Linked DNA regions of Daphnia pulex. The protein of the gene in region 2 binds, or shares a complex with, the protein of the main gene of each other region. Links are inferred from orthologs where the notes say so. Each region holds a gene or a part of one and is shown on either strand. Other genes may lie near its edges.

What was found.
Region 1: WD40 repeat-containing protein SMU1-like (region 2) and microfibrillar-associated protein 1-like share a complex: the UniProt entries of both Homo sapiens proteins name them as parts of the spliceosome B complex. The link is inferred for Daphnia pulex from reciprocal best matches to the Homo sapiens genes SMU1 and MFAP1.
Region 3: WD40 repeat-containing protein SMU1-like (region 2) and pre-mRNA-splicing factor 38A-like share a complex: the UniProt entries of both Homo sapiens proteins name them as parts of the spliceosome B complex. The link is inferred for Daphnia pulex from reciprocal best matches to the Homo sapiens genes SMU1 and PRPF38A.
Region 4: WD40 repeat-containing protein SMU1-like (region 2) and splicing factor 3B subunit 3-like share a complex: the UniProt entries of both Homo sapiens proteins name them as parts of the spliceosome B complex. The link is inferred for Daphnia pulex from reciprocal best matches to the Homo sapiens genes SMU1 and SF3B3.

What each region holds. Positions count from the first base shown.
Region 1 is NC_060019.1:11,265,123-11,270,469, reverse strand, and holds the start of microfibrillar-associated protein 1-like, read left to right. Parts: upstream 1-2,227; 5' UTR 2,228-2,370; exon of another isoform or gene 2,371-2,438; intron 2,439-3,151; 5' UTR 3,152-3,642; coding exon 3,643-3,860; intron 3,861-3,929; coding exon 3,930-4,248; intron 4,249-4,313; coding exon 4,314-4,392; intron 4,393-4,454; coding exon 4,455-4,612; intron 4,613-4,675; coding exon 4,676-5,002; intron 5,003-5,064; coding exon 5,065-5,343; 3' UTR 5,344-5,347. Other genes in the region: ADP-ribosylation factor 6, read right to left, coding at 361-503, 576-774, 847-950, 1,033-1,114. UniProt on the Homo sapiens protein: Involved in pre-mRNA splicing as a component of the spliceosome.
Region 2 is NC_060024.1:13,654,576-13,659,672, reverse strand, and holds WD40 repeat-containing protein SMU1-like, read right to left. Parts: upstream 3,471-5,097; 5' UTR 3,348-3,470; coding exon 3,322-3,347; intron 3,255-3,321; coding exon 3,188-3,254; intron 3,104-3,187; coding exon 2,960-3,103; intron 2,891-2,959; coding exon 2,776-2,890; intron 2,707-2,775; coding exon 2,288-2,706; intron 2,225-2,287; coding exon 2,001-2,224; intron 1,926-2,000; coding exon 1,631-1,925; intron 1,555-1,630; coding exon 1,402-1,554; intron 1,335-1,401; coding exon 1,236-1,334; 3' UTR 1,177-1,235; downstream 1-1,176. Other genes in the region: BTB/POZ domain-containing protein 17-like, read left to right, coding at 1-182, 253-480, 546-643, 728-1,018. UniProt on the Homo sapiens protein: Involved in pre-mRNA splicing as a component of the spliceosome. Regulates alternative splicing of the HSPG2 pre-mRNA. Required for normal accumulation of IK.
Region 3 is NC_060022.1:2,882,473-2,886,882, reverse strand, and holds pre-mRNA-splicing factor 38A-like, read right to left. Parts: upstream 2,821-4,410; 5' UTR 2,676-2,820; coding exon 2,546-2,675; intron 2,481-2,545; coding exon 2,321-2,480; intron 2,256-2,320; coding exon 2,134-2,255; intron 2,098-2,133; exon of another isoform or gene 2,071-2,097; coding exon 1,985-2,070; exon of another isoform or gene 1,920-1,984; coding exon 1,329-1,919; 3' UTR 1,280-1,328; downstream 1-1,279. Other genes in the region: mitochondrial import inner membrane translocase subunit Tim16-like, read left to right, coding at 3,125-3,283, 3,362-3,583; furin-like protease 1, read right to left, coding at 4,140-4,410. UniProt on the Homo sapiens protein: Involved in pre-mRNA splicing as a component of the spliceosome.
Region 4 is NC_060019.1:9,348,148-9,353,282, reverse strand, and holds the start of splicing factor 3B subunit 3-like, read right to left. Parts: upstream 3,395-5,135; 5' UTR 3,240-3,394; intron 2,914-3,239; 5' UTR 2,858-2,913; coding exon 2,632-2,857; intron 2,567-2,631; coding exon 2,396-2,566; intron 2,209-2,395; coding exon 1,932-2,208; intron 1,740-1,931; coding exon 1,589-1,739; intron 1,378-1,588; coding exon 1,136-1,377; intron 969-1,135; coding exon 790-968; intron 731-789; coding exon 575-730; intron 321-574; coding exon 169-320; intron 107-168; coding exon 1-106. UniProt on the Homo sapiens protein: Component of the 17S U2 SnRNP complex of the spliceosome, a large ribonucleoprotein complex that removes introns from transcribed pre-mRNAs.

The DNA.
Region 1 (5,347 bases), on a different chromosome or scaffold from region 2:
GGATGCAAATTTATGCAATACAACCCAAAGTTTGAAACAGAAGAGGAGGAGGATTTGTCGTCGTCGTCAAGTTTTTTTTTTTTTTTCATTCAGCACAACAATTTTGGAAGAGCTCGTGTTGTGGGCTTCGTGAGAACAGACCCCACAATATTTTTGTTTTGTTTCAAATTAACTGTGGGCTGCCCTCGCGTCCGGTACGGTATTGATTATTTGATGCCATAGCGCACTTTGGCAACACACTATTGCAGTGAGATGCCATCTTCAATCATATAGTCTTAGTTATTTGTTTCCTAAATCTTTCCTCTACGCCCCACGACCTTGTTGAATTTTGTTATACACAGCACTTGAACGAATGATTCATTACGATTTGTGATTAGATGTTAACCACGTTAGTCCTTCATACAAGCCGTCGCCTGTTGTGGCACATGCTGGCTGGACGTACCAGTTCCGATCACGAATACGAGTCAGCCCCAGTTTTTCTTGAATTTCGTGTGGTTTCATGGCTGTCAACATGAAAATGTCGTGAATAAATTGGGGTTCCACAGTCTCAATTATAATAATTGTAAAATACTCACCATCCTGGAGGTCTTGTTTATTTGCAAATATAAGGATGATGGCATCACGCATCTCACGATCGTTTATGATCCTATGAAGTTCTTGTCTAGCTTCGTCAATTCGATCTCGATCTGCGCAGTCCACAACGAATATCAAACCTTGGGTACCAGTATAATAGTGTCGCCACAGTGGGCGGATCTTATCTTGGCCACCAACATCCTGCAGTAATGATTCATATTTTAGTGTTGGGTTTAGAAATTTGATGGGTGAGGTCAAAAGGAACTAGCTTACCCAAACATTGAATTTGACATTTTTATATGTTACAGTTTCAACATTGAATCCAACGGTGGGAATTGTTGTGACTGACTGTCCTAATTTCAGCTTGTATAGAATTGCTATTTTGAAAAACAAAAATAATAAGTATAACTTGGAAAAAAACCAATGCTATCAGACAACACATAAAATTCTTTATCTCACTTGTTTTTCCAGCTGCATCCAGCCCCAGCATGAGTATCCTCATTTCCTTGTTTCCGAATATTTTGGACAGTATTTTCCCCATTCTCCTAATCAGCTCACTAACAAGCTGTTTTACAAGAAAAGAACTTTATTTCAAGCAACAAAATGACCCTGTCAGCCACAGCCATATAGTTTATCCACATCTGTAGAACTGAAGTGTCAAACTAGTTTGGTAACTTTTCAGTGACATTTGTGGCAAAAGTTGTTATCAGAAAAAAATAAACAGACTTTGCTCAGTCATTTACAGCATACTAGCTAACATACTATTATCAGATCAGGTTTTCCACTTACTTTAATGTAGACTCAACAATGACGTTTACTGGAATTTTAGCTGTAATATGGAAGTATTTTCGAAGGCATTCCTATGAACCGGAGTCGTTATTTGCACAAACACTATTTTGTTTTTGATGTGAGCACTAAGAAATCGATGGAAGGCGTTGGAAACAGGCGAAAATAAATAGTTTCTTTGCTTCTTCAGATAAAAAGGCACCTGTCACTTCAGTTAGCCGCCCAAACACCCGACCCGGTCTTCCCGATATCTTTGCAAGTCTTCAGAAGATCCAAAAAACTCGGGCCTTCCAATGTAATGAACAGACAGAATAGTACTCCTTGCATCTCACCAGATGGCTTTTTTTTCCTTCTTCCAATTTTGGTGACGGCGGCGTCTGAAAACAACTAGCTATTTCAGACTTTAACACATTCCACTCAACTAATCAATTATTTCTATTATTACACTTATTCAAGTGGAATAACGAGAGGAATGACATACACACACCAGTGTAATTGAGCAGATGGAATTCCAACACTGACAGCCAGTGTCCCCTTTTCTGCCCACCTTCTGATCCGCCCACCCAAGCTTCGATTTGATTCGATTTCAAAACCATTCCCTAACCGTCAACGTGTTCCCTCCCACATCTTTAAAATGTATTATTGAAACAACGAGTGATAAATTATTTTATTATAATTTTTAATGCAGGATTCATTGGTTCGAAAGGGGAAAATTTATTTAGCAGTTTCTAACATTTCTAAAAATTTGATCGGCAATACGGCAAGTGTTTAGTAGCGACGTCTATAATTTCAATTTAAGTAGCGGTCTCTGGCGTCAAGATTACGAAAGAAAAGTTGAAATTCATGAACACATTTTTCTTTTTAGGTTGCCGGAAGTCGACAAAATGCCTCAAGCCGGATCCCTATCTCCTCCCTTAACCCCCCGCAGCAACAGCTAACAGGTTGTCTCGGCTATCAAAGTGCATTTAAGGAAGCTGAATTACTCATTTTACAACTGAAACATTTCACCATGTAAGCCGCTAGCCGTAGTCTTTTGTTTTTTTTCCAAAAGAAGCATATTCACCATAAATATGTTCATGGTTTGTACATAGTGTTTCTATACAGTCACCGCCACCATGTTATGACGTTTTTTTGATGGATTGTTATTTCTTGTTGTTGCTTTTCGGACACATGTGTACTTGACTACTCAAAAGATTTGCTTTTCTCCCACAATACTTATTACTGGTTAGGTATTTTTCTATAAATAAGCACACTAGTGCTTGTTGCCTGGAAAGATTTATTTTAGCTCCTTTCTTTTATTACAGTACAAAACAGTTATTTATTAAGAAATAAAATGGAGACATCGAAGTAGAATTTCGAAACCGCACATTATTATGCTATGACGATAAAAAAAAAGCGGTAGAACCACCAAAAATATTCGGTTAAACTTTCGAGCGGATATATTTAGTGGAATATAGCGTGAGGTAAATTTTGAAGTGTGTGTCTAATCGATGTCCTTGAGTTCAATATCTTCGACGATCCGGTGAAAACTGCACGAAGTCATGCGGAGCTTTGAATACTTTGGTGTTTCGAAACAGTTGATAATAAGCTGAAACTCGTAAAACCACCGCCATTGCGATCAAATAGTGCGATGTGTAAAATCTAGCTACGACATAAGTAATTTCCTACAAAGTAAGTAGTAAGTAGGTAGTTGCTATATACAATAAATGAGTGATTTATTGTAACGTCATAATGAGGTCCAAATTCCTAAATTCCGACATTAATTTTCTCAGATTTATTTCGTGATTCTTAGGCACTTCAAGGTAAACGAGATTCCTCACGGTTGCCAATCCCTGGATAGAACTTGGCGAAAGGTCTCCATGGATTTTGGTCACGGCCTCTTTATCCTGATCCTGCTATCAGCTAATAAAACTCAGATAAAACTATCGTGTTTGCATTGTGTTGCCTAGAAGCAGCATAATCAGATTTTCAGTGGATTACAGCAACATCAATTGCTGGGTACTGGTCACAGTCTGCAATAACATGTCATACAATATTACGTGCCATAGGAGACGGCAAAAGTCACGTCATTCTTTATTTCAATTTAAGTTCTTAGATGGCGCAGTAGTCGTCTTCAATTTCATTCGCCAACAGAGGACTCTGCACTCTGGTGATCCGATGAGTGGCCCACTGGCCCTGAATAGAGTATGCAATGGCAACGAAAAAAACATTGAGTGAAAATTCAGACAACAAACGCGTGTATATGGTCGTTCCGTATTAAGATTAAGACAATTTTTTGTGAAAATGTCGTCATCCAAAGTGGTCCCTATCCTTTCAACCGCGGGTGCTATCCCTGTGAAAAATGACAAAGGGGAGATATCTATGCAAAAAGTTAAAGTCAATCGTTACGTATCAGGCAAACGACCAGACTACGCTACTACACATTCATCTTCAGATGATAGTGATGAAGAAGAGTTTATCAGACCAAGAAAGCAGGCAAGAGGAAGACCAGTAGAAGAAAGGTATTAAATTATTGATTGTAGATATGTATTTATATGCTTGTATATTTAAAAAATTTGATTAAATTGTAGTCCTGAAAAAGAATGGGACGAAACCCCAGATCTTCCACTTACTGCTCACAGTGACAGAAGATTAAAACGTCTTTTAAATCGTGAAGTTGACGACCATAGAATTGAAAGGCATCGTCATATCCATGAGCCTGAAATTATTGGAACAGAAGAAGATGAAGTAACACCTCATTTAGAAAGTGAAGAAGTAAGTTTTAGCAAAAATGCCCGAAGATGGGAATCAAGTGAAGAAGAGGATGAGGCAGAAGATCTTGATGAAGATGACATTGAGCGCAGAAGAATGATTGCACGTCAGAAGGCTGTTATTAAACAGCAAGAAGAAGTAAGTTAATATACTTTGTAGTATGATCATTGATCAATTCAATTCAATTGCAAATTTTGTTGTAGGAGTTGTTGGCAAGAGAGGAGGAGAAGGAAAGTGAGGAAGATGAAGATGACGAAGCTTCAGAATATGAAGAATATACAGGTTTGAAATAAAAGTCCCTTGATGTGAACAAGACTCTAAATCTGTTGTGTTTTTTATCCTAGATTCTGAGGAAGAAACGGGTCCAAGACTGAAGCCCATCTTCGTTAGCAAGAAAGAACGTATAACCATAGCTGAGAAGGAAAAGGAATTGCAAAAACAAAAGCTTATGGAACTTGAAGCTAAAAAGCTTGCCGAAGAACGTCGCCGCTATACCTTAAAGGTAAACCATTTTTAAATTTATACACTTTTTGAACTAAAAAAGCATTAAAAATCTATTAAACAGGTTGTTGAAGAAGAAGTCAGAAAAGAAATGCAAGCCAAAGACGAAAAAGACCTTGAATCAGGAATCTTGTCGGTGTTGACGGATGCCGAGGATGAAGAACTCGAATACGAGACCTGGAAATTACGTGAACTTAAACGCAATAAGCGTGACCGAGATGAAAGAGAGGCAGAAGAAAGAGAACGACAAGAAATTGAACGTATCCGTAATATGACCGAAGAAGAACGGCGACTGGAATTCAAGAACAATCCAAAGGAAGTCACAAACAAGGCACCAAAGGGCAAATATAAGTTCCTACAGAAATACTATCATCGCGGTGCCTTTTACCTCGTAAGTTCAGCTTTTAAAGATATTTGGGATTTTAAAAATAATTTAAACTCTTACTCTAACAGGACGAAGACAAGGAAGTTTTCAAACGCGATTTTGCTGTGCCAACTCTTGAAGATCACTTCGATAAGACTGTTCTGCCTAAAGTGATGCAAGTTAAGAATTTCGGTCGCAGTGGTCGAACCAAATACACACATTTGGTGGATCAAGATACATCACAAGCCGACGCACCGTGGGCCACGCATACTGCTCAGAATTTGAAATTCTACACACAGCATGCTGGTGGAGTAAAACAAGTGTTCGAAAGGCCTGCTTTGAAGAAGAACAATAACTCGGGTACTTGAGTTG
Region 2 (5,097 bases):
AGTCAAGTGGATAGAGGTACAGGATGATCCTAACGAGAACCTTATTCGTCAAGTGTTTTCGTACGTCAGATTTCCAATGATGACTCCGAGGCAGCTGGCCGATTTGCTTCTCTGTTCGCTCACTCAGCGCTTCAAAGAATTCTTCGTCGAACGCATGGCCATTGCAATGGCATTTCATTCAGGTAAAAGGAACCACAAACGTTTAGTTGACGATTGATTTTTCCATTCCAGTAATCAATTACGTCTTAATAGGGCAAAGGGAAGAATTCACAGAAGCACTGTTGCAACAGAACAATCCCGATTCCCAGTTGTTCACACCGCGTCTTTACACTTCCGAAAAATGGGGCACTCACATAACACTGGAGAATTTCCCCTCATTACCGGCGTACCACACGAGAACTCTGTTGCTCTCTTCGCCGGCTTCTTGTGCCGACTTTGAAACAGACGCCTATGAGTGGGTTATCGAGTTCTCTCCCAAAGGTAGAATAACATTCATACCCTGATAGCCCAATTTCAATTTACATACCTTTTTGACTGTGTGACAGGAGTGTGGTTTCGGCCTTGCTGTCTAATTGTCTGGCAAGGAAATATCGAAGTTCCAGAAACAGTTTTGCGTACAGTAAGACTGTCACTCATGCTGAAGGTCGTTTCATCGTTAATCTTTTTTTTTTTTTTTTTTAATTTGATTGAAGCGCCATTCTGAATTGTTGAACTTTTGTTGATGCAGGACCCTATTGAAGCTCACGTCCGTGTAGCTGTACTGGTTTACGGTGTACACGGCGGAGTTGAACATGTGCGAAGCACAACGGTCCGGAATTTCATCTTCTCGCAGGAAGAACCAGTGCTGCGATATGACAACTTACTGACATACTCGGACATCAATCCGGATCGGTTCGATTGTGATCGGCCACAGCCAAATAGTCCACCATCGCCTTTCCTGGTTGGGCCCAAGCGTGACACGCTCAAGGTCCAACTCATCATTCTACCTCAGCGACCTTACAAGCGACGGGAAAGATGAAAACACCTTAAGTGGAAATACGGGCTAACAACGAAAGAGTCAGGAACCAAGAGAAGCAGCACAAAATTATGAATGAAATTTATGCCTTGTGTTTCACCATCATGTTGTTTCAACTCCAATCTGTTGACTCTTTGCTGTGAAAATCGAAGAGTCATTTCTAGCTTCACAAAACGACACCTGTATTTTTCCTCGTTCAAAATAGATTCGTCATCAAAGTTTAAGGTCGCCACATTCTCAGAAATCCGTCTTCACTGTAGGTACATAGGAGATTTTGATGCGGGTGGTGACTCATGCCTATGACTTCTTTCTCGTGGACCTAAATCAGAAATGGAGAAATGAGAACGACAACTAGCAGCGAAATTACGAGAAAGAATAAAAAGTACCGTTAAAGTTTTTTCGAGTTTGCCTGATGCGATGGAGAAACAATAGAGCACCATGTCTTCACCGATGCAATAAATCCATTCGCCTTTAGGTGATAGGGTACAGCAAACAAAGTCACCACCATCACGCTTACCGCTGGTGAATGATCTGACAATCTACGCGTATTTTTTAATAAAGAACGAAATGGATTATTTTAGCGTTAGGCGATTAACGTTTAGATATTTCTCTTACCTGTCCCTGCATATTCATGATAACTACAGTACTGCTCTTATTGCTGACGATAAACTGCTCTGGGTTCTTGGGTAGGAGGGTGATGGTGTGAATCGTCAAGTCACCGCCTGATGAACCGCCCAGCGATTTGTACGTGGAGACGCACTCGCCCGATTTCATACTCCAGACTTTGACACTGCCGTCACAGGAAGCACTCAACACGTGATGACCATCGGCTGTGAAAATGGCTTCGTTGACGAAGGAAGTGTGGCCACGGAATTCTTTCAGAGTCTTGCCCGATTTTAAACCGTGGACTCTGCAAATAAAAGTTTAAGAATCAGCAAAGATCGTCGATTATTTTTCACAAAAAGATGGGAACAATTGCCTTTACCTGACGGACATGTCGAACGATCCTGTCAATAGCTGGCTGTTATCTTTGGAAAACTGCATACTGGTCACACCTTTGCTATGGGCTTTCTCAAATTTGCGTAGGCACTGGCCAGTCTGAATTTTCCAAACTTTGATTTTGCCATCTTGAGAGCCACTAGCAAGCATTTCAGAGTCACGACTAAAGGTTAGGCAGAGAATAGCATCTTCCATCATCATGAAATTGTCCTGGAGATAAAAACAAAAATATGTTACAGTGATTTGAAATTGAAGGGTACATTTCTTGATTACCTGAGCTTGGTATTTGAGATCTTTACGAATCTTTCCGGTGGTAAAATTCCAAACTTCAATAAAGCCGTCAACAGAGCCGGTGACCAGATACTGTCCGTCAGGTGAGAATTTTGCGCATTCGACGTGAGACTTTTGTCCGAATTTGATGTGTTTAGTCAACTGAGTAGGTGGCTGTTCCTCTTCTTGTTCTTTGATGGCAGCTTTACCTCTGAAAAGATCGATACTGGTACCGGGAGGCAAAAGTCCTTGATGCTGTTGCCATTTCAAAGATTGCCCGAGTAGAGCGAGTAGACGAGATGGTGGTACCACGGACACTTCTCCACTCAGAGCTTGAGCAATGGCTGCTCTCCGTTTTTCTTTACTGCTTCCTTCGGGATATGCTTCCCTGGTGTCAAAATAAGACCTAGCCAGCAGGTTTTCTATGGAAGACGAACAAAAAGAAATTCATCAATTACTGATGGTGGGTTGACTAAAGAAGAAGAACTGACCTAGATTTAAATATCGATCAGGTTCTTGCTGTTTCATAAGGGCCATAGGATCTGTCTGACGCAGCAGTGATCTGGCTGCCCCCAACTCACGGAGCTCTATCAATTCTAAAACGACCTAGCAATTTGTTACCCGTTATTATTATGACTCTAGAATTTGCAAAGATTCTTGATGAGTGATTGATACCTGTTCATAAAGGTCAATTAATTTCTTGTCTGGAAGTTTAAGAGATTGTGTTGCTTTTAAAACTGTATCCCAATGGCCACTGAGAATGTCATCTGCAAATGATTCAACTGAATCGACAGTGTTGAGAGAAATGCCTGTTTCATCCTACATAATGAGGAAGATAAAGATTTGTTTAATGAATATTGTTTTCGGCTACATTGAGTAAGAAAACAAAAACCGGCATGGTACCTGGAGCACTTGGAGGGTCCTCATCAAGTTAGACTCTTTCAAGAACTGCTGGATGAGACGAATAACGCTAGAAGATTAAGGAAATGCATGTTACATTAGGAACTCAATGTTTTAAAATGTATGTTTGTAATTACTCGGCTGATTCAATTTCAATAGACATTTTCAGAAACAATTTTTAAGAATTTCCAAATTGTAAACCGATCAGCTTCTTCTGTCACAAGTTTGTTTGTTTCAAGAGCCATCTAGAGCTCACTTTTAAAACTAGAGAGTTTCGTGCGAAATTTGAAAAATCAAAGAAAGTAAAGCTGCCAAGTTGGACAACATTGTCTTTTAGAGGTTTTATTAACCTTATAGTTAAATTACACCTATGTTCTTAATCTAAGAAATTAATTTGGATTTGATAATTTCAATGAATTGTCTATTTAACAAACTTTGGTCTGGGATAGAGTCCCAATCAAGAAATTTACGATATGCTATTTTAATTGTCGCAAAATGGGAATTACAGCCATTCATAAAATGTAGTCAAATAGCTTATTATTAATTCGATGAATTGCAAGTATAGCCATAACAATAGCAATGACTATAGCCCGAATTAGTAACCTACCTTCGTCTAAAAGAATTATATGTATACGTTTGTTTTGACTTGGATTTGTTTCGCCATTATATTATCGATCCGAGTCACGGACAAGCTGTCCTCAATCCGTTTCTTATTTTCTTTTTTCTTTTGTCCAGACGGCGAGCCATGAATGATTCATTCGTGCGCAAATTCCACAGATTTGGCCGTTCATTTGTCATTGGCTGTATACCGGTTCGCCTCGACCGTTGGTCGGCAAGTTGCGATATAGTTTATCCCCTTTCCCATTATATTATGCACCGACAATATGAAATACCTTGATCTCGTGCCTTTATTGCAGAGATAAATGCTGCCAACGGAATATATCGCTTATAGTCCCGATGGTATTTGAGCTGAAAAGATTGGAAATAAGGACAGCCCCCCGAAAGTCCTTGCGACATCCTTCAATTATTACAGCGCGGGGAAAGTTGTGGAAACCCTGTCAACATTTTTCTTCCGCAGCAGTTAATACAGCACACACTATACGGGCAGTAGAAAATCTGGTCGAATGGAAAGGCAGGAAAAAAAAAGAGAGATATGGAACAATGGAAATCATAGTAATCATAATAATAATAATGAAAGAGCGTGTGTGTATTTAATCAAAAAGTTGGCCAGTTTTCCCCACCACGCGCGCGACTCTTTTTCCCTTCCATTTGTTGAGTAATCACAGGAAAGAAAAAGCTGCTGGCGGGGCTGTTAGTTTTGCGATGACATAACACAACATAGTATATTCGGTGAAAAAGGGAAAAAGAAGTTTGAAAAGAGAAACACACCACGCGGGCTAATAGAAAGAAAAGAGAACCTATATATGAAAGAATAAGAGAGAGAAATAGTAGTAGAGTCGCCCTTAGATTTTTAGAAAGCGAGAGTGATTTCGCCTCTCTCCATCGTCGCTGCTGTGTTATTTCCATTTCCATTTCTTGTTTGTCTTGCCCTTCACCTAGATCACCATCCGTGCAACAGACCAGCAGAGACCTGCATTAGGGCGACCGAGCGACCACTTTTGGTCTCGAATGTCTTTGTCCTGTGCTGGCTGGCTGGTATAGTGGCTCTCTCTTCGTTGTTCACCGGCAACAACTCGCCGGATGAGCGCCTTGTAGTACCTTTTTTTATTTCTTGTCATACCTTAAGCTTAAGCTGCTTTTTATGGCCCACTTTTCCTCCTCCATTTTCACCTCTCGGCTCGGCGAGGTACGGACGAGAGTCAAGGACGAAAAAGTTTCAGGTTTCAACGACCCTACAAATCTAGAAATAGACGGGGCAGCATATTGCTGTAGAGATGTCTGATCAACTCTTG
Region 3 (4,410 bases), on a different chromosome or scaffold from region 2:
TGGTGTTTCAAACGTGGGACCATCAATCAACCTAAGAACAAAGCCCCTGGTTTTTCCTCAAGAAGCTGGTAGATATTAAACATTTTACTTAGATCTGTTTTATCCAATAACCGTTTGATTTATTCGACAGGTTTTAACCAATTCGAAAAGGTACTTTGCAATAAATAATAAACCGGATTTCAAGCCATATATACACCGTTTCTGCAGCTTGCACCTGATCTGGCAGGCCGTCGGAACTCTATTAAGTTTATCTGAGAACCATCGGTACTTTGCCTAGACAGCGTCCTGGAGAAACTACTACTCCACTGCACCGCCTTCGAAGAAATTATGTGGTGTGTACATTCCCCTTTCGATAACTAAAGGATTCGAAGAACTCTCTTCATTTTCTAGGATACTTTCTGAGGTAGCGTTCGGTCTTTTTTTGTCTACATCTGCAATCTACATCTTCTCTCAGTGTCTAGAAAAAAAAATGGTGGAATTTCGATTCTATCAAAGACACTTACACCATCTAGTGGACATAGTTTTTAGCCAACGAGTGATCTAATGGCAATACATTTTATAGCTGGAAAAATGATGTCCAGTTCCAGTAAAAGAAAAGAAACCATGAAGATCCCACACATCACAGATCATTTAAATTTTAGTCAGACCACGTTAAAAAGGATTGGAAGCTGGTGTCGTCTGCATCTCCGAGGCCGTAGTACCGTAATCCGTGTTGAGCTTTTATCTTATAGGACGAGACTACGAGATCTTTAGCCTAACTAGTAACTACGGTACTGAGGAAAAATTGTAAGTGACGAAAAATAATAGGAAAAATTTCAAATGAGGAACAAGTCCTTTTCTGATTGTTATTCTTGCAACGGCTGATGCTTCGTAAGTTCTTAACGAAAGGAAATTTTGGAAAAATTATCTCAAAAAATAAAAATCACCATAAATTCATACTGGTGCACCAGCCAATCATGAAGTCATTACTGCGCGCCGAGGGCAATAATAGTTTTTCGGGATCCGTGAACAGATATAAACTTTTTCGCCATTTTACAAAGAATTCAGAAAACGGGGTCAACATTAAATAGTAGTGTCAAAATGATGATTGATCTACAAATTTGTGTTTAAAATGTCTGTTGGGATCAGCTAATACTTACCTTGTTTTTGACTCTTTTACATTTGCAATAACGAACACCGTCTCACTTAGGAAGAATCCTAAGTTCTTGTCTAAGTTGAAGTCTGCACATCCAACACAAGAAATAAGAATAAAGAATCAGATAGACCTCGGAATAATAAGGAAATGAAAAGAGTGTTTATTACAAAACGATTAGAAAAAAGACAGCAGATTACGGTCGCAAAGGAGCCAGCCCCAACTTAGCTCGCAAGGCATTCGCTTCTGCAATTTCAGGATCGATGGCAGCACTGGAACTGCTACTCTTTTTGCTATCTTTCTTTTTGTTGTTGTACTTGTCACGATCTTCGCCTCTTTTGCTTCGATCTCGTTCTGATTCACGATCTTTCCCGCGGTCCTTGCGGTCTCTACGATCCCTGTCTTGGTCTCTTCTGTAGTCACGCGAACGTTCGACTGAGCGGCTTCGCTGGCGGCGACTTCGATCCCTTTCTCTTTCACGACTGCGGTCCCTGTCACGCTCACGGCTGCGATTCCTTTTGTCACGACTTCGACTTCTGTCTCTATGTCGATCACGTCTTTCCCTACTTCTCTCTCGTTCACGTTCTTTATCCCTATTACGACGAGAACGTTCCCGTTCTCGATCACTGTCCTGCTTTGAACGCGATGTAGTAGGAGGGGGCGACAACGAACCTCCTTTCCTTTCACCCTCTTCTTCTTCACTTTCTGAATCTTCTTCCTCCAAGTCTTCTTCCAAAGCTGATACTCTCGGCTCAACTTCATTAGCTTCTTCCAGAATTTGACGTTTCTGAAAGTAAAATAAACCGTATTTAATCAGTATTTTTTAGGTTGAATACTAATTCACATTTATACCTGAAGTCTGGGCAGGATAACATCACAAAAACGCTCTTCTCTCAGTAAACTATCAATGAAATCATCCATGTAAAGAAGCTCAAAATCTAAATAAAACCACATGTTAATTTGCAGTATTCTTTTTAAAAATATCTTATTTTTATTATTACTTCCTTCCTTGTTTTGAAACCGAATTTTTCTGTAATCATTGTAAAGTGGTTCTAAATATTTATAGATTTCCACAGATGTTCCAACAAGTCTCATGTAGAATGCTCCCAAGGCACGGACATATCTATAATGATACATTATATTAGGTGATTTCCTGTATAACTTGTCTGTTTTGGTCAAAGAACTTACTTGAAATCTTCATTTTTTATAAACTCCACTACAATGTCCTTTTCTGGTTGGATTTGAAGCATTTTTAGTGTAAGTGAGAGAAATGGAGTAGGTTTAACATTACCACCAAATATTCCACCAATGTACCTTAATTCCATGGCCTTATCCACCATCAACTCAGCTAAAAAAATACATATACATAAATAAAATGAGTGCATCAAAACACAAGTAAAATTTTCAATATACCTGTCAAAGCAAAGCATTCTTCTTTCCAGTACTTTGAATCATAAATTCGAGTTCTAATAATCTTTTCAACCAAGTATTGAGGATTTGTTCCTTTAACAGAAATTGCCTCTTTGATTGTTCGATTAGCCATTTTGAATTAATCTAAAACACTAGATGTGTACAGTCAAAAGAATAATCATTGAAATTTAACTGTGTTGATAAAAAGTAAAACTTTGTCGGCATTAGCAACGGAACGACAGAACGACGCTTGAATCCGTCGTCTGCTACGGACAGACAGAGACATCAAGTGGTCAAGTGGGTGGGGCGATCAATTCATCAATTGAAAAGAAAATTTTATCGTTATTTAGTTTACTTTTATGAAATATTTTTATATTTTTAACAAATCAATCACTTAAGTTATTTAAGATTTTTCAAACTAAATTTTTTAAACTGACCTGTCTGTTCTGAGAGAAGAGTCTTCATTTTTTTCTGTAGCTTTTCCGTTTGTTTTTCGCCTGCTAAACATTCCAGTATACTACCTTGATACTACTACAGACGTAAATCATCACGTAATCATTTTGAATCTATCTCGCCACGGTTATGGCAAAATATTTGGCCCAAATAATTGTTATGGGGGGCCAGGTTATTGGGCGAGCGTTTGCTAGAGCTCTTAAACAAGAATATCAAGCTAGCCAGGAAGCTGCCAAAAGAGCTGGTGGTGGGAAAGCCGGCGCATCACGTGTAGAAGCTAACTTCAAGGTTTGTTTGTTACACACAAAAGTTATGTAATATCAGTAAATTTTAAAAAGTTAACATGTTTTTTTTTTCATTCTGTAGACAGGCATGACCCTTGAGGAAGCAAAAGAAATCTTGAATGTGGATAAATTAGAACCTGAGTTGGTGCAGAAGAACTATGATCACTTGTTCCAAGTTAATGACAAGACGAAAGGTGGTTCATTCTACCTTCAATCTAAAGTATACAGAGCTAAAGAACGACTTGACCAAGAAATGAAACATGAAACAAAAAAACAAGAACCGTCAAAAGAAAATAAAATGTAACCTTCTCCAAAACGACAGTTAAGGTTATGGAAATTATCTGGAATTTATCTTTGTAGTCAAATTGAAAAATTGTACATATAGGGATAACTAATAAAAATCATTTTTTATAACCTTTTTTATTCTAATATTATAGAATCCTTATGCATATTTTTTTATTGTGATGTGATGTATAAACATTTTTTCAGGTATGATTTTAATTTAGTAGGCTTTGTTCTTACCTTTATATTTGAATCATATATTTTAGTGAAAACTTTAATCTTAACACAACTTGTGATTGCTGCAAATTTATTTCACTATACATTTACCAAGCTCATTTAATTATTTGTTTTATATGCATTAGGCCTTCTATAGCAAACACGGTTTTTACCAGTTTTTACAATGACTGACGACGACAATCAATATGGTATCCGTTAGAATGTAATTTATTACAGAATCTGGCAAACCGCTCATTCAAATATTTATAGAACCTTTTTACAAATATAATCTTTACATTTTATAAATATTAAAAACTGACATTTTATCTTCTAAACAATGTTGACTTTAGAACTTTTACTCTTTAAACTGATTTTTCGGCGCCAATAGGTGGAGGAAGATTTGCGCTTGTTTGTGTCAACAGATCGTAGTCACCTTGCCTGTGGTTCGTTTCCCGTTCGTTGCTGCCGCTACAACAGTTTAAAACAAAAGAAGAACTGAAACTCTTTTTAGTGCACATCATGTAAATCGTTAAAGCCATCACGAGTGCTAAATTAAACGCCAGAGCCAGTTCGACACCCACGGACCAGTTTTCGTAGCCCGTTAATTGCTTTACGAGTTCATGCGGATAACAG
Region 4 (5,135 bases), on a different chromosome or scaffold from region 2:
CCTGGCGCTGATTAACTGCACACCGAGATATAGCTCGTTTACCAGGGGATTTCCATTCGTTGATCCTTCTGTCTGCCCTTATGTGTCGAATTCCTTCAGGATAAACCTGTTAAGATAGTTATGGTCTATGATATTACTGGATAGGAGTATTTTGCAAAATTTTATTACCTGGAGCAATGCATTATCACCCAGCGAGGAACACCCTAGAGTAGGCGTCGTGCCCAAAAACCCTGAGTCTGTCACCTCTTCAACAGTTTCACCGATGGACAACACAAGTGTGGCATTCACGAATGACACAACAATGTAAGCATCAAACTCGTCTGTGAAGAAAAATAAAAGAAATTTAATAACCCCTCCATAATAATGAAAAGGACTCATGGGGGATAGATAAAAAAAAGGGAGTGTACAGCTGAGTAAGTGAACTGAAGCATTACTCCACTAGGTTCCAGGGAAGATCAAGGCTAACCTGAAAACAGTAAAAAAGACTGGCGTTTGAACTATGGTCCAACCACCAGTCGCTCACGTGCGCGCACAATGTGACACGCCCGCTGAGCACAACACAAATTAAAATTACCGTCGGCACGTTTTCTGACAGTCCACACTGCATTGGGGTTACCGGGAAGTTCAGAAACAGCCATCTCCGATACTTCCAATCCATGACGGAGAACACGAAGAGACGAACGAGAACTTCTACCACAAAGTGCATACAACTGGGGTGTATCCTCATTGGCTGTAAATTGAAAACAAATGTTAAAAACCTTTCAAAACAGGAGGAATTATCAAACCTACCGAGATCAGCAATATGGCAGGCCAGAACTGGAGATAAAGACTCCATCTCGTCCACGAGAACAAGATTCTTCAAAGGTCTCGGAGCAAAGAAGAAAGTATCTCCTTCCTCCAATGGTATAGTAGAGCTGAATTCGGGTTCATCGTCATCATCCCCCAAATGAGCAATCTGGTAAAGATAACTAATAACACAAGGAAAATTAATACACTTGAAAACCCATAAAACTACTTCAAATTTTGTAACCGAAATCAGAGTCAAAAATTATAATCAAAGTGTTATCTCAGGTGAAACACGGATGACAATACACATCATTTCAGCAAATAGAAAAAAAAATTTAAGAAAACTAACTGATTTCCAAATTCCGATGCGACGAATAGAAAGCCTGTCTTCAACACACACATGCTGGACGAAACTGGAACGGTATCAAAGTACTTGATTTTCAATTCTCTCACCACCTCTTCATCCATATCCATGGTGATCTTGAAAATATCGCCCTGCTCCGTTTGGACAAGGAAGAAAAACATGGCCTTGGTGCGATGGGAAGCCGAGCAGACGAAAATCATGCCCCTTTCCGGATCATCCAAGTCATTCTACAGAGAAAAAACTTATTACTACCGTCCTCAATACATGGAATAAATAACTTATCGGAGGTTCGTTCCAGGACAGCATGCAATATGCGCATTACAATCCAACGATGCAAACATCTCCAAGTATAGTTTAGGCACTAGTCGACCAGCACGTGTATAGAACACGGCTGGAGATACCGCGCGCCAAATAACATAATGAAATGATCAAACGTACCCTTCTTCTGGGGATTGGGCAACGAATGTCATGCTGTTCACCCAAATTCTTATATGTGATGTAGTTCTCGGAGCAAACCAGAACTCCGGAAGGTCCGTCGTTTCCTCCAGGAACAGTGATGAGGAAATTGGCGTGCTCATCCAACGGCTCACTATTAAAGTAAAGATATGTTCATCAAAATATTTCTTACATTGTCACACATAAGTCAACAATGTTACACACTATGATAGATAATGTCCCCCTTATGTATAGCTGCAATCTTTAAGTGACAAGAGAGCAGTAAAGTTAAGGGGTTTTGAAACCCAACCAGGCAAAACCAAAATCACCAAGATTTGTTACGCACCTATATTTCCTAACGACGTGGTTTAAACCCAGATCGAGTTCGTAGAATGTAAGCGTTTGTTGCGTCTTCTGTGCCGCCTCGCCTGTTGGATCACCATCGGCCTCTTCATAATCCATCTCCAAACAAGCAAATACAGGGTTTTCAAATCCCACGTCAACACCCACTATGTTGTAAACTAGAGTGTTTGACTTGTGAGCCTCCAGCGGAGAAGAAATGGTTAAATGGGCTTGGGCATCCCTGTTCAGAATGTAGACCAGTTTTTGCTTCTCAATAGCACCTGCAATGCAAAAAAAAAACATAAATGTTAAAGCAATGCGCACTCTCAAGCCACAAGATTTCGATTTTAAAAAATTCTCAGTAAAAACGTTAGATATCAGCATTATCTTTCTCAGATGGGGAAAGAAGACATAAAAACGTAACTCATCACTTGCAAGAATTTAAATTAAAAACGGATCAAAACTTACTGATCATAACAGCTCTGCCTTTGGGATCAATTGCCATGTACTGTCCAGGAACAATCCGACGACAACCGCTTTTGCCGTACGTTTCTTGGTGCACCTTATCAAACACATTTTTGGCAGCATTGTATTCAAGAATGACAATTCGCCCAGAGTCTGATCCGACCACAAGGTAATCTAAATACAGAATTAATGAAAGTTAGCAGGATGTATGTTTTAAAAATTATATTTGCACAACTCACCCTTATTTCCTCCAGTAAGCCTGAAACTAATGATTGACCTGATGATTCCAAAAACCTCTTGACTGAGAAGTGTGTGTACTTTGCCAGTGTTGGGATCCGGCTTCACAATTTCGAGTACCTTTCCACGAGCAATGACAATCTCCTGTTGCTTGGTGCCACTGAAGTTGCCCTGGACTGCCTGAATGATGCCAGTGGCACGCTGCAGAGTCAGATTGTAAAGATACATTTTCTTTCAAGTTGACGTGTCCAATGTGTAACTTGAACTGCCTAGATGAGCATCACCTGCGAAAATGTTATCAGATATAATTCTTACATTTGTCCAACATGTTTAATGACAATGTTACACACCATTTGAAAATTAATGTCCCCCTCATGTATAGCCACCAAACTTAATTCACAGAAAGGCGGTAAAGTTGTAAGGGGTTTTCTTTTCTTTAATAGCTAGACGAGTACGCGAAAGAAACTACAGCCCCGGCATCTCACCCGGCAAGGTTTTCAAATTGACATGCTTCAATATTTTAAACATCGCCAAAAACACACATTTAACCATCAAAATAACTGCTTTTCAACTATCTGGAACTAAAATGTGTAGTCAAACTTGAATTTACCTGTGGATGTTACAGATTTTCCATGATGGAAAATTCAGCAAAGGTTGAGTGAAATCTCTCTTGGCTCCGGCGTCGCGCTCGAGTTTAGGGTTCGACTTCTCGTGCATTGTGTGATAGGCAATATTTTTGAACATCTGACATCGACTCTCTACTTGGTCTATCCCTAAACACAGCATTTTCAATGCATTTGCGCTTTCTTTATCACAAGATTTTTTAAATTATTATTATTATTTATAGAACGATTTCATAATGCATTATACAATAAAATTGTGAAATTAATAAAAAATTTCAGTGGTGATAATCAAGAATGATTTATTCACAGCTGTTTTTATTACTCATAAAGTAATTCAAAAGACGTGTTCATATTCCGATCCCTTGCTATGCGCGCGAGTTTCTCTCTAGAACCACCATGCAGCCACGCTTTGAATAGACAAGTTCGGGATGCTGAGTTGCACAACCGCAAAATTAGGATCGTGCGCCAACGAGTTTTTGTAACGTTGTGGGGATAGTAGAAAGCGGGTTTTTTATTATTTAAGCATAGAATTACTTATCTAATCTTAGAAATGTTCAGGATTATCGTTGTTTAGAACATTCTGCTTTTTATAGAGTAATTTTAAATGTATAATTCAGCTTAGTTTACCCATTCAAATTAAAGAAAGTCCAAGCCTGGGATGCTGTTTAGTCTTTTCTTGTGTGTTTGAGCTTGTCACTTGTCAGCAGATCTGTCAAAAAACACAAGAAAAGACTAAACAGCATCCCAGGCTTGGACTTTCTTTAATTTTAATGGGTAAACTAAGCTGAATTATACATTTAAAATTACTCTATAAAAAGCAGAATGTTCTAAACAACGATAATCCTGAACATTTCTAAGATTAGATAAGTAATTCTATGCTTAAATAATAAAAAACCCGCTTTCTACTATCCCCACAACGTTACAAAAACTCGTTGGCGCACGATCCTAATTTTGCGGTTGTGCAACTCAGCATCCCGAACTTGTCTATCTTTTAAAATTTCTTATTCAAAAATTTTTATTTGCGGTGCGGTAAGGAATAACGAATAAGGGTGTTGAAGCACTTATCTTTTTTTTTCAATTCATAATGTACCGTTGAATTCATTTCGAGTCATTCAATTCATATTGACTGAAACAATCGAGTTCCCGAACTTTACCGATTAACTCGTCCTCTGTCGCCAGTGATGGAATGTGGAACGGCTTGCAGTCGGAAATCAACTCTTGACTTTTGATGTTTCCTATTAAGAACAAGTTTAGAGGTTTGAAAAAAAACGAAACTAGAAAAAACGAAGAATTTGATGTTGTCCTTGCATTCTTTGGAACAGCCTTTATTGCAGCATCTTCCAAAAGATAGCCGCAGCGAAATTCTTCGACGTTTGGAATTTAACATCGTCGACTTGTTGTTGTTGTATACGCGATATCAGCAGTCGGTAGTTTTGGGCCAACTTTCGTCGTCGTCGGGAACAGCATGAGATTATAGTTTTCTACACTGTCATAAATGCGTTGAGATAAGGCGCTGCTGGGCGCGGTATGAAATCCCCTTGTTCCGTAATATAACATGCTGCAACCGCTATAAGCCATGTACGCGCATTCGTGGTTTTTATCTGATGTACAGTAGAACAAGTTCTAACTTTCCATATGCCATCTTATTAAGGTTATCCTCTCTGACTATACAGAAACAAATCAACCTCAATAGGGATTTTTTAGAGCTACATAGTCACAGTGACGAACGCGACGGTATTAGCCAATGTGTTTGAATCCGGCGATTAATAGTCCGCTCGATTGGAAACCGTGAAATCGTTTCCGAAATTATGCAGGCAATCAATGCTCTGCTGCACTATCGAGAGCTTTTTTCTTTTGGCCGAATGTATATATCGCAGCACTCG